Coturnix japonica: one gene and its partner. The protein of the gene in region 2 purifies or fractionates together with the protein of the main gene of each other region. This does not show direct contact. Links are inferred from orthologs where the notes say so. Each region holds a gene or a part of one and is shown on either strand. Other genes may lie near its edges.

The links. Proteins that work in one complex are often made in the same cells at the same time.
Region 1: the proteins of CDH5 (region 2) and JUP purify together in Homo sapiens (affinity purification with western blotting; 3 studies listed by BioGRID and IntAct, with this or other methods). This does not show direct contact. The link is inferred for Coturnix japonica from reciprocal best matches to the Homo sapiens genes CDH5 and JUP.

What each region holds. Positions count from the first base shown.
Region 1 is NC_029542.1:4,305,553-4,309,691, forward strand, and holds the start of JUP (junction plakoglobin), read right to left. Parts: upstream 2,806-4,139; 5' UTR 2,708-2,805; intron 1-2,707. UniProt on the Homo sapiens protein: Common junctional plaque protein. The membrane-associated plaques are architectural elements in an important strategic position to influence the arrangement and function of both the cytoskeleton and the cells within the tissue.
Region 2 is NC_029526.1:10,025,957-10,029,467, forward strand, and holds part of CDH5 (cadherin-5), read right to left. Parts: intron 2,468-3,511; coding exon 2,267-2,467; intron 1-2,266. UniProt on the Homo sapiens protein: Cadherins are calcium-dependent cell adhesion proteins. They preferentially interact with themselves in a homophilic manner in connecting cells; cadherins may thus contribute to the sorting of heterogeneous cell types.

The DNA.
Region 1 (4,139 bases), on a different chromosome or scaffold from region 2:
GTGCTGCACGACCCCCCCTGTGCATCTCCGCAGCACTGGGGGAATGGGTCAGGTCAGCAGGTGTGGGATATTCAGAGAGCACTGAGCATCCCATGGCAGCCCCAGCACAGCTCAGCGCCCCGAGCCACCAGGAGCTCCGCTCCAGCACAAGGCTCCTGCCCTTTGCATGGAGGGATTTTAGATCCGAGCAATTCAAGCATTATGAAATGCCTCCAGGCCTGTCAGCAGCTGCAGAAAAACCAATCGGGGATGGCAGATTTGGAGAGATATCTCAAGCCTGTCTAATTAGAAACATCTTGCCCCTCACTCCTCCTGTATTCCCCTCACCACCCTTACAAAGCACAGTGCACTGCACACAAGGGGGGAGCATAGACAGCTCTCACCCCATGGAGGCAGGAGGATGCACTGGCCCAGGAGGCTCCTGAGCCCAAAGCCAGCACAGAGTGAGCACACAGTAAGGACAAACCCCAGGATGCACTGAAGGACTGATGTAGCATGGAGGGGAGCGGGGGGAGGAGGGGGTGATGAAGCACACACAGCATTGCCCCCCCCACCACTGGACCCCAAAGCTTTGGGTGCACTGCACCACCCCTGCAGCATGTGGGCCTCGGGAGCACTGAGCAGAGCAGGCAGCAACACGCCAAGCGTGGCATCCAGGGCTGTGCTGGGCCGTCCTTGAGCTGGCAGCACAGGATGCAGCTTTGGAGCACTCTGCAGCTCAGCTCTGGCCAGCAGCACTGTAAGCACAGATGTGTTTTTAAGCTGCTTAGGTCAAGTTTTAAGACTTCTTTGGCAGCCTCTCCCATGCACAGACAGCGTGCCTGCTCCATCCCCAAACACCCAACCCTGTCCCTGGGAAACGGGGTAAACCCAACCCTGGTGGAGCTGGAAATGCTGCATCAGCTCAAGTGCTGCATCCTCCAGGGCTGACTGCGAGCCAGGCGCTGCCAGCAGGGCACAGCCCCGTGGGGGACACCCCAGGTCCCAGGAGACCAACTGGGACCCACAGCTGCCACCCAGACCCCATTTGCTGCCTATCCCAGGCACAGCCCTAAAGCACCGAGGTGGGAAAACACCACCTAAAACAAGAGTCAGAGCTGGCAACTGTGCCACAAGAAGTCCAAGGCAGACTTGCAGTGCTTCAATAGAAATGAAACTTCTTTTTAACTCCTGCTAATTAGAAGCCAGCCTAATTTCAAATTTCAGGAGCAGCATGAGCTGTGGTACAGACACCTCAATTAGAGCCCTGTGAGCTCCCCATGCAGACCCTGTACTGCAGCCCCACAGCGCAGCTCCTCCCTGCGGGCTGCCAACTGCACCCCCCAACCGGCTGGGGGTCTGATGGGGGAACAAGGAAGGATTCCCAGGAGGAGGAGGGCAGCACCCGACCTTCATGTACAGCTCAGAGGCGAAACGCTCCGTGGTCTCCAGGTGTGAACAAACCACGGGCAGTGGTGCCAACGGCACAGCCCACGGGGACCCACATGTGGACGGGGCACGAGGTGCTTCATGCCGGCATCCCCGCTGTCCCCAGGGGAGTGGCTGCAGCACCAGACAATGGAATGGGAGCCATTGTTTGTGGGGGCGGGGGGGGTTGGGGCGGCCTGCAGCCCCCCCCACGCTTCCGCCAGCGCTTCCCCACCGCCGGAGTCGGGCAGCTGCAGCTCAGCCCCCCCCAGCAGCTCCTCATCGCCCAGCGAGCGGCACCAGAACCGGGGATAAAACGACCCCCGGCCACCGCCACCCGGGCTTTGCGCAGGCGCGTCCTGTGCCCACCTGTTAAAGCCGAGTTCGCTGCCAAATGGGTTTTTCAAACCACTTTGTGGAAATCCTCCAAAGCGGTGAACAATTACGGCCTTCGGAGGTGGAAGGACCTTAATGGCTGCTCCGCTCCGCACACTGCCCCGCCGCACGCCCACAAGGACACGGGAGGGGATCCGCGCCCCCCACCGACGGACCAAACTGCGGGTGGGAAGGGGACGGAGCAGGGACAGAGAAGGGACGGAGCAGGGACAGCCCCGGAGCGGGGACAGGGGGGGCCCGGGGATACCAGCACCGGGGAGGGCACGGCAGGACGCGGGGACAGCGCTGAGGTCAGCACGGCTCCGTCCCGGCCCGGGCTGCGCCCCGGGAGCCGCCCACGCTCCCACCGCGTCCCCCCGCGCACAACCCACGCCTTCCTCCGCGGGCAACTCCCAGCAGCGGCCCCGCGTCGTGCTTTAATCTGCGCCGATTAATTAAACTAATCACCCAGCGAACGCAACGAGAACGTGACGACGATACGAGCCGGTCGCTCCCCGCTCAGTTCCGCTGCCCCGACGTTCGGTGTCAGCGCGGCGGGATGAACAGGAGCCGCTTCATTAACCCCCCCGTCCCCGTTCCCCTCCCGCAGCCCGTCCCGCTCCCCGGGGCTGCTCGGGGCAGGTGAGCGGCTCCGCCGGAACAACCACCCGGGGCAGCGCCCAGCGGCAGCACCGGAACCGCACGGGGCCGGTTGGGCCGAACCGAACCGAGCCCGGCGGTGAGCGCAGCCCCGGGGCTGCTCGGGACCGGTCGGACGGGATGAGCGCAGCCGGGCGCGGCGCTGCCCCGGGGGGGGGGGGCGGTAACAGCCCGACACCGCGCGGAGCCCGGAGCCCCTCGATGCCGGGACCCCCCAGCCCAGGCCCCCCCCCCTCGCCCCCCGCCCGCCCCCCCCGTCTCTCACCTCTCCCGGTTCCCGCAGCTCTGCCGCCCGCCCCGCTCCCGCACGAACAAAAGGCGAACGGCGCCCCGCCCCGCCTGGCCCCGCCCCTCACAGCGCTGCCCGCTTGCCATTGGTTCTTCTTCCCGTCCGTCTTCGCCGCTGCTGACCGGGCCCCGCCCCCTCCCCGTGTTTATCCGCTCGCCATTGGCGGGGAGGAGACCGCCCCCCGCGCGCCGGGAGCTGATTGGGCGGCGGGGCGGGGCGGGGGCGGGGCGAGGGCGGGTGGGGAAGGGCGTGAGCGCACCGAGGGCCCACCTGGGTGACGTCACGGGGCGGAGCCGGGAGGGTTCGAACGGGACCGAACCGGGTCGGGACAACGGGGGGAAAATGGAGGGGGGGAAAATGGAGGGGGGTAAATGGAGGGGGGGCGGGGGGCGGCACTGCGGGTCGGAGCGGGGGAGACACGCAGCTGGAGCAGGGCGGGGAGCGGCAGCGCCCATCCCACCCCATCCCATAATATCCCATAATATCCCATAATATCCCATCCCATCCCACCCCTCCCCATCCCATTCTATATCCTATTCTGTCCCCATCCCATTACATCCAATTGTATCCCATCCCATCCCATCCCATCCCATAATATCCCACCCCATCCCGTCCCATCCCGTCCCGTCCCGCCCCATCCCGTCCCTTCCCTCGCCCGCGGCTCACGCCGTGATTCAGCCTCTCGGTTTCAGTCACCGCAGCCAAGTCCCGGCGGAGCCTCGTGCTGCCAACAGCTCGACGGCCGCCAGGCACAAAGCAGCGCCGTGGCTGCACCAGCGGCCGCCCAGCACCCACCGCCCGGCCTGGGGGTCCCGACCCGACCGACCCCCCCCCAGATGGTCTTTCATGGCACTTGTGTCCGTCCCGATTTGCTCCGGGCAGAGGCGGCCGTCAAAAGAGCGGACCGAGTTTTATTCCAAGTTCAGCACCAGAACGTTTAAAATACAAAATAAACGAGCGAAAAATATAAAAGCGAGATGGGAAGTATTAAATTAATGGAGCTTAAAGCTCTGGGGGCTGCTGGGAGAGAGATGAAGGCACTTGTGGGGCAGAGGTGGTGACGGGGTACAGTGGCACAGGGATGCCGTGCACCAGGAGCAGCACCCAGCACCGAGACGGGGGGAAGGGGCGGCTCTGGGAGCTGCCGGTGGGGGTGGGCTGCTGCCAGAACCAGCACCGTGCACAGAACCCATAAGGCAGCACAGGGGTTTGCTGTTGGCCCCCTGGTCAGTGGCTCCTGGGGGAGCAATGAAGGGGCACAGCAAATCTCAGTGCTGCTATGGAGCGCTACTATGGGGCTCCCAGGGACATCGGGGCTGGGGGGGCTCAGGGGGCACCAGGCAGGTGGTGGCACAGTGGTGCGGCTGCTCCTCGGATGGGAATTATGGCAGCATGTCCCTGTAGATGG
Region 2 (3,511 bases):
TTTCAAAGAGATAAAAGTGAGCTGTGGCTTTGGAATATAAAACAGTTTCTACCAGAAGATACACATAAACATGACCTCTTATTCAGACTCAGTTTGAAACCATTGGGAATTTTGATGACAGCTGGCATATTACTGGACAAACCAGCAATGCAGAATAGGATAAAACGTGCATCCAGACTGAAACCTGTTTGCTTATATATCAGGAATGTTTTATTTTAAGGTTATGCCTTATATTTCCTAAAGATATAAATTGTTCATGCAGTTACAGATAAAAACTGTCAGCCTCATTGTGTCAGAAATGTAGGTACCACTACATGGAGCTACACTTGTTGGCAAATTATCTTTGGAATGTAGCAGAATTCTAAGTGGAATTTTGCTTGGATTTCACAGAATGACAGAAACAAATCCTTATTCACAGCTACTGACAAACATTATTTAGCATTTTTCTCCATTGTTTGCCATTTAGCAGAATTCCTGCCATGGCTGACAGCTTTCTTGTGTTTAGTCATGTGTCATTTCTTCATAGTTGGTCTTTATGGTTATGGCAGTGAAATTAAGTTTTCACTCCACAGAGTTTCAAATTTAAGATTGTATTGTATGAAAAAGGGTGGGGTGAAAGGTAAAATGAGTCTGTTTTTATGTGTAATTTAATCCAGTCCCAGGTGGTTTTGTACATTATTATTTCTTTTAATCTGGACATAATCTGATGATTCTTTCCTATCTACGCTCCTCTAAGAACGCTGCTATAAAGTTTAGAACACAATTTTCTGTGCACTATATCAGCATTCTTGTTTCAGCAAGCTATTTATCAATAATTGTTGGGTTTGACAAAGATTTTCTAGTCTTTTGTTACTGACATTATCATAAATTGCAGCTGTTTGGTATTCAGGATTTGATTTATCCCGTAGTTGTCATTTACTGTTGAACATTCTTTCATTTATGTTTTTTATTTTGAAATGTGCTATTAAAATTCTCTTTCCTCATTCCACACATTTAATCATGCTTCTAACTGCTGGTGCTGCTGAACAACAGCTCGTGACTCTGGAGTTGTAACAGGAGAAAGAATCTCACCCTTGTCTCAAAGATAGTACAGCCTTTGTCTTCTTTCTTAATTTCTATTTACTTATTTGGTATGAAAGGTACAGCTTCCAAGGTTGCCTTTGCTAAATCTAAGGATGGACATGCAAATTGAAGCCTCCAAGGTCATCAAAGATAAAATCCAGATGTATCAGCATATTCCTGCATCTGTCGCTCGGTTTGGCCATGCTGATGCTGTGGCCTTTTAAAAGGATTTATCAAGTGTTCAATCCTGCAAATGCAATGCACTGTACACAGTCACTGCAAAAGTAATCAGACACATTCCGCTTTTGAAAGACCACAGAGCACAGTACAAAGTGAATTACTCTTATTTAGGACAGCACCAGGAATAAAAACTCTCTCAATCTGCTGCTGAATTGGTCTGAAATGAAACAGAGATATCCTGTGGTAGCTGAGTACCCGGTGGCCTCTTTTCTCTCTCTCGTGCTTTCTGCCAATGAGCAGCACTGATCCAGAAAGGTCTGTTTCACTTTACCATAACAGCCTTGACAGACACTGATTGTTGCACATGGAAGGAAAATGTAGAACTGCATTTATCCGAGAAGTGTCAAAGTAGTTCAATTTGAAAGACTAGACTGGGAGAACTTTATCTGGGTGATGTGCAGTTAATCACAGGATTTTATGAGCATTGCCCTGAAGAAAATGAGTTTGTGGTCAGGTCAATGCTTGTTATTACTTTCAAAAACTGTTTTCCTTCACTTTGTGAAACAAATTTTTGATTGTGTAACAGTACTCCTAAAGTGCACTTTATTTTTGTGCCTGTGCTGAGGGATGTAAGCTATGTGGTCTTTAATACGTATGTTTTTATTAGCTGATCTCCCAGGTTTTTGAAAGAGCAACCAGAAAAACACTGATATTCATCAGCTGCCAGACCTTCTTCCTTACTCTGCACCTGCATGCAGTGCAGTTGTTTCTTCACTGCAGATGCTCCATGCTTGCCATTCTCTAAAATTTATCTGTATTCTTTAGAAGAATTATAATTCCTTTGATGCTGCTCTTGATTCACTCTGCCCTCATTTTAGGATTGTAATGTTACTACATCAGTCCCATTTCTATTTGCCGTTTATTCCCCGTTAATTCAGCTAGGCTGCAAAGAAGTAATACTTCTCAGGACACTCATTTGTTCTCTGCATTTCCAGTCATTCTCTGCTAAGAGGCTGCTGTTTACCTTGCCAACATGATGGGGTAATGGTGAATCAATCTCTTCCCTGATATGCATTCGGTTCCATATCCAGTCTCTCTTAAGTCGTTTATGACTGGTATTGTTTGAAGAAAAGTTTTGTTTTGTTTTCTGATTTTCTTTATAAGAGAATGCCGGAGCCAGGAACAGTGAGAAAAGCAGAATAAGCTTCTTCATCTTCTTCTGAGCCTAGGGAGTAATAGAAAGCATGAGAACTGTGTAAATAACAACAGAATCAGATTAATCAGAGAAAGCATGCATGGAAGTGCAAATTGAATTTCCTTCTAGAGGAAGGTTTGATTACTTTCTGTATTTCTTTCAATCTGCCTTAGAATCAAAAATTGAAATATCGGGCACAAAAACTTTCACAACACAAAACAGTTCCAAACAGATGATTCGGCAGCCGTAAAAAGCACTAAAAAATTGAATAAGTAAAAAAAGCAAGTTTTTAAAGCTACCATAAAACTCAGCATCCTCTTGGGCTACCACAGTTCATCTGAAGAGAACATACAGTAGCAAAGATGACCCTTTGTGCATTTCAGAAAGTTTGGTTTGGCTACTGGCTCATAGCTCATGGGAGGGAGCTGACCTGGGAAGCAACACCAAGACTGAGCCAGATCAAAGTTCATGTTAACTCAACTTGAAATGAAATGTTAGAGTTTGACAAACTGAAATGCAATGTTTTGACATGACCTGACATCAAATATGCTGTAGTCAATATTTTCATATAGAAACTATTGATTTAAAATAAAACTTCTTTTTTGTTGTTGTTGTTGATTGGAAAAAAAAGATTCATATGGAATTTTCAATCAATTCCAAGTACAATGTAGAAAATTATCTTGCTCAGAGATCTTGTTTATTGCATCAATTCCTTGTCTCTTAAAAAAGGCCCAAATTTATTCATTTATCTTTTATACTTAGATCTTAGCACATACTGAAGAGTAATTCATAAAATTACTTTCAGGTGAAACCCTTTTTTTTACATCATGAGTTAATATTAGTAAACTGTAGGCCTGGTTATCAGATTGAGTTCATTTCATGTAGAAAAGCTGATTCATTTTTCCACTAAATTTTCCCTTTGCAAAGTAAAGCACTGTCAGGGAACTTAAACGCTCCAATAATCAGACATTAAATTACATAGAAATGGCTTTCCATTAGCTTTTAGGAGCTGTCAGTACATACATCAAGAGTAAAAGTTAATTGTGATCGAGAAGTTGAAATCACGCATGTTGT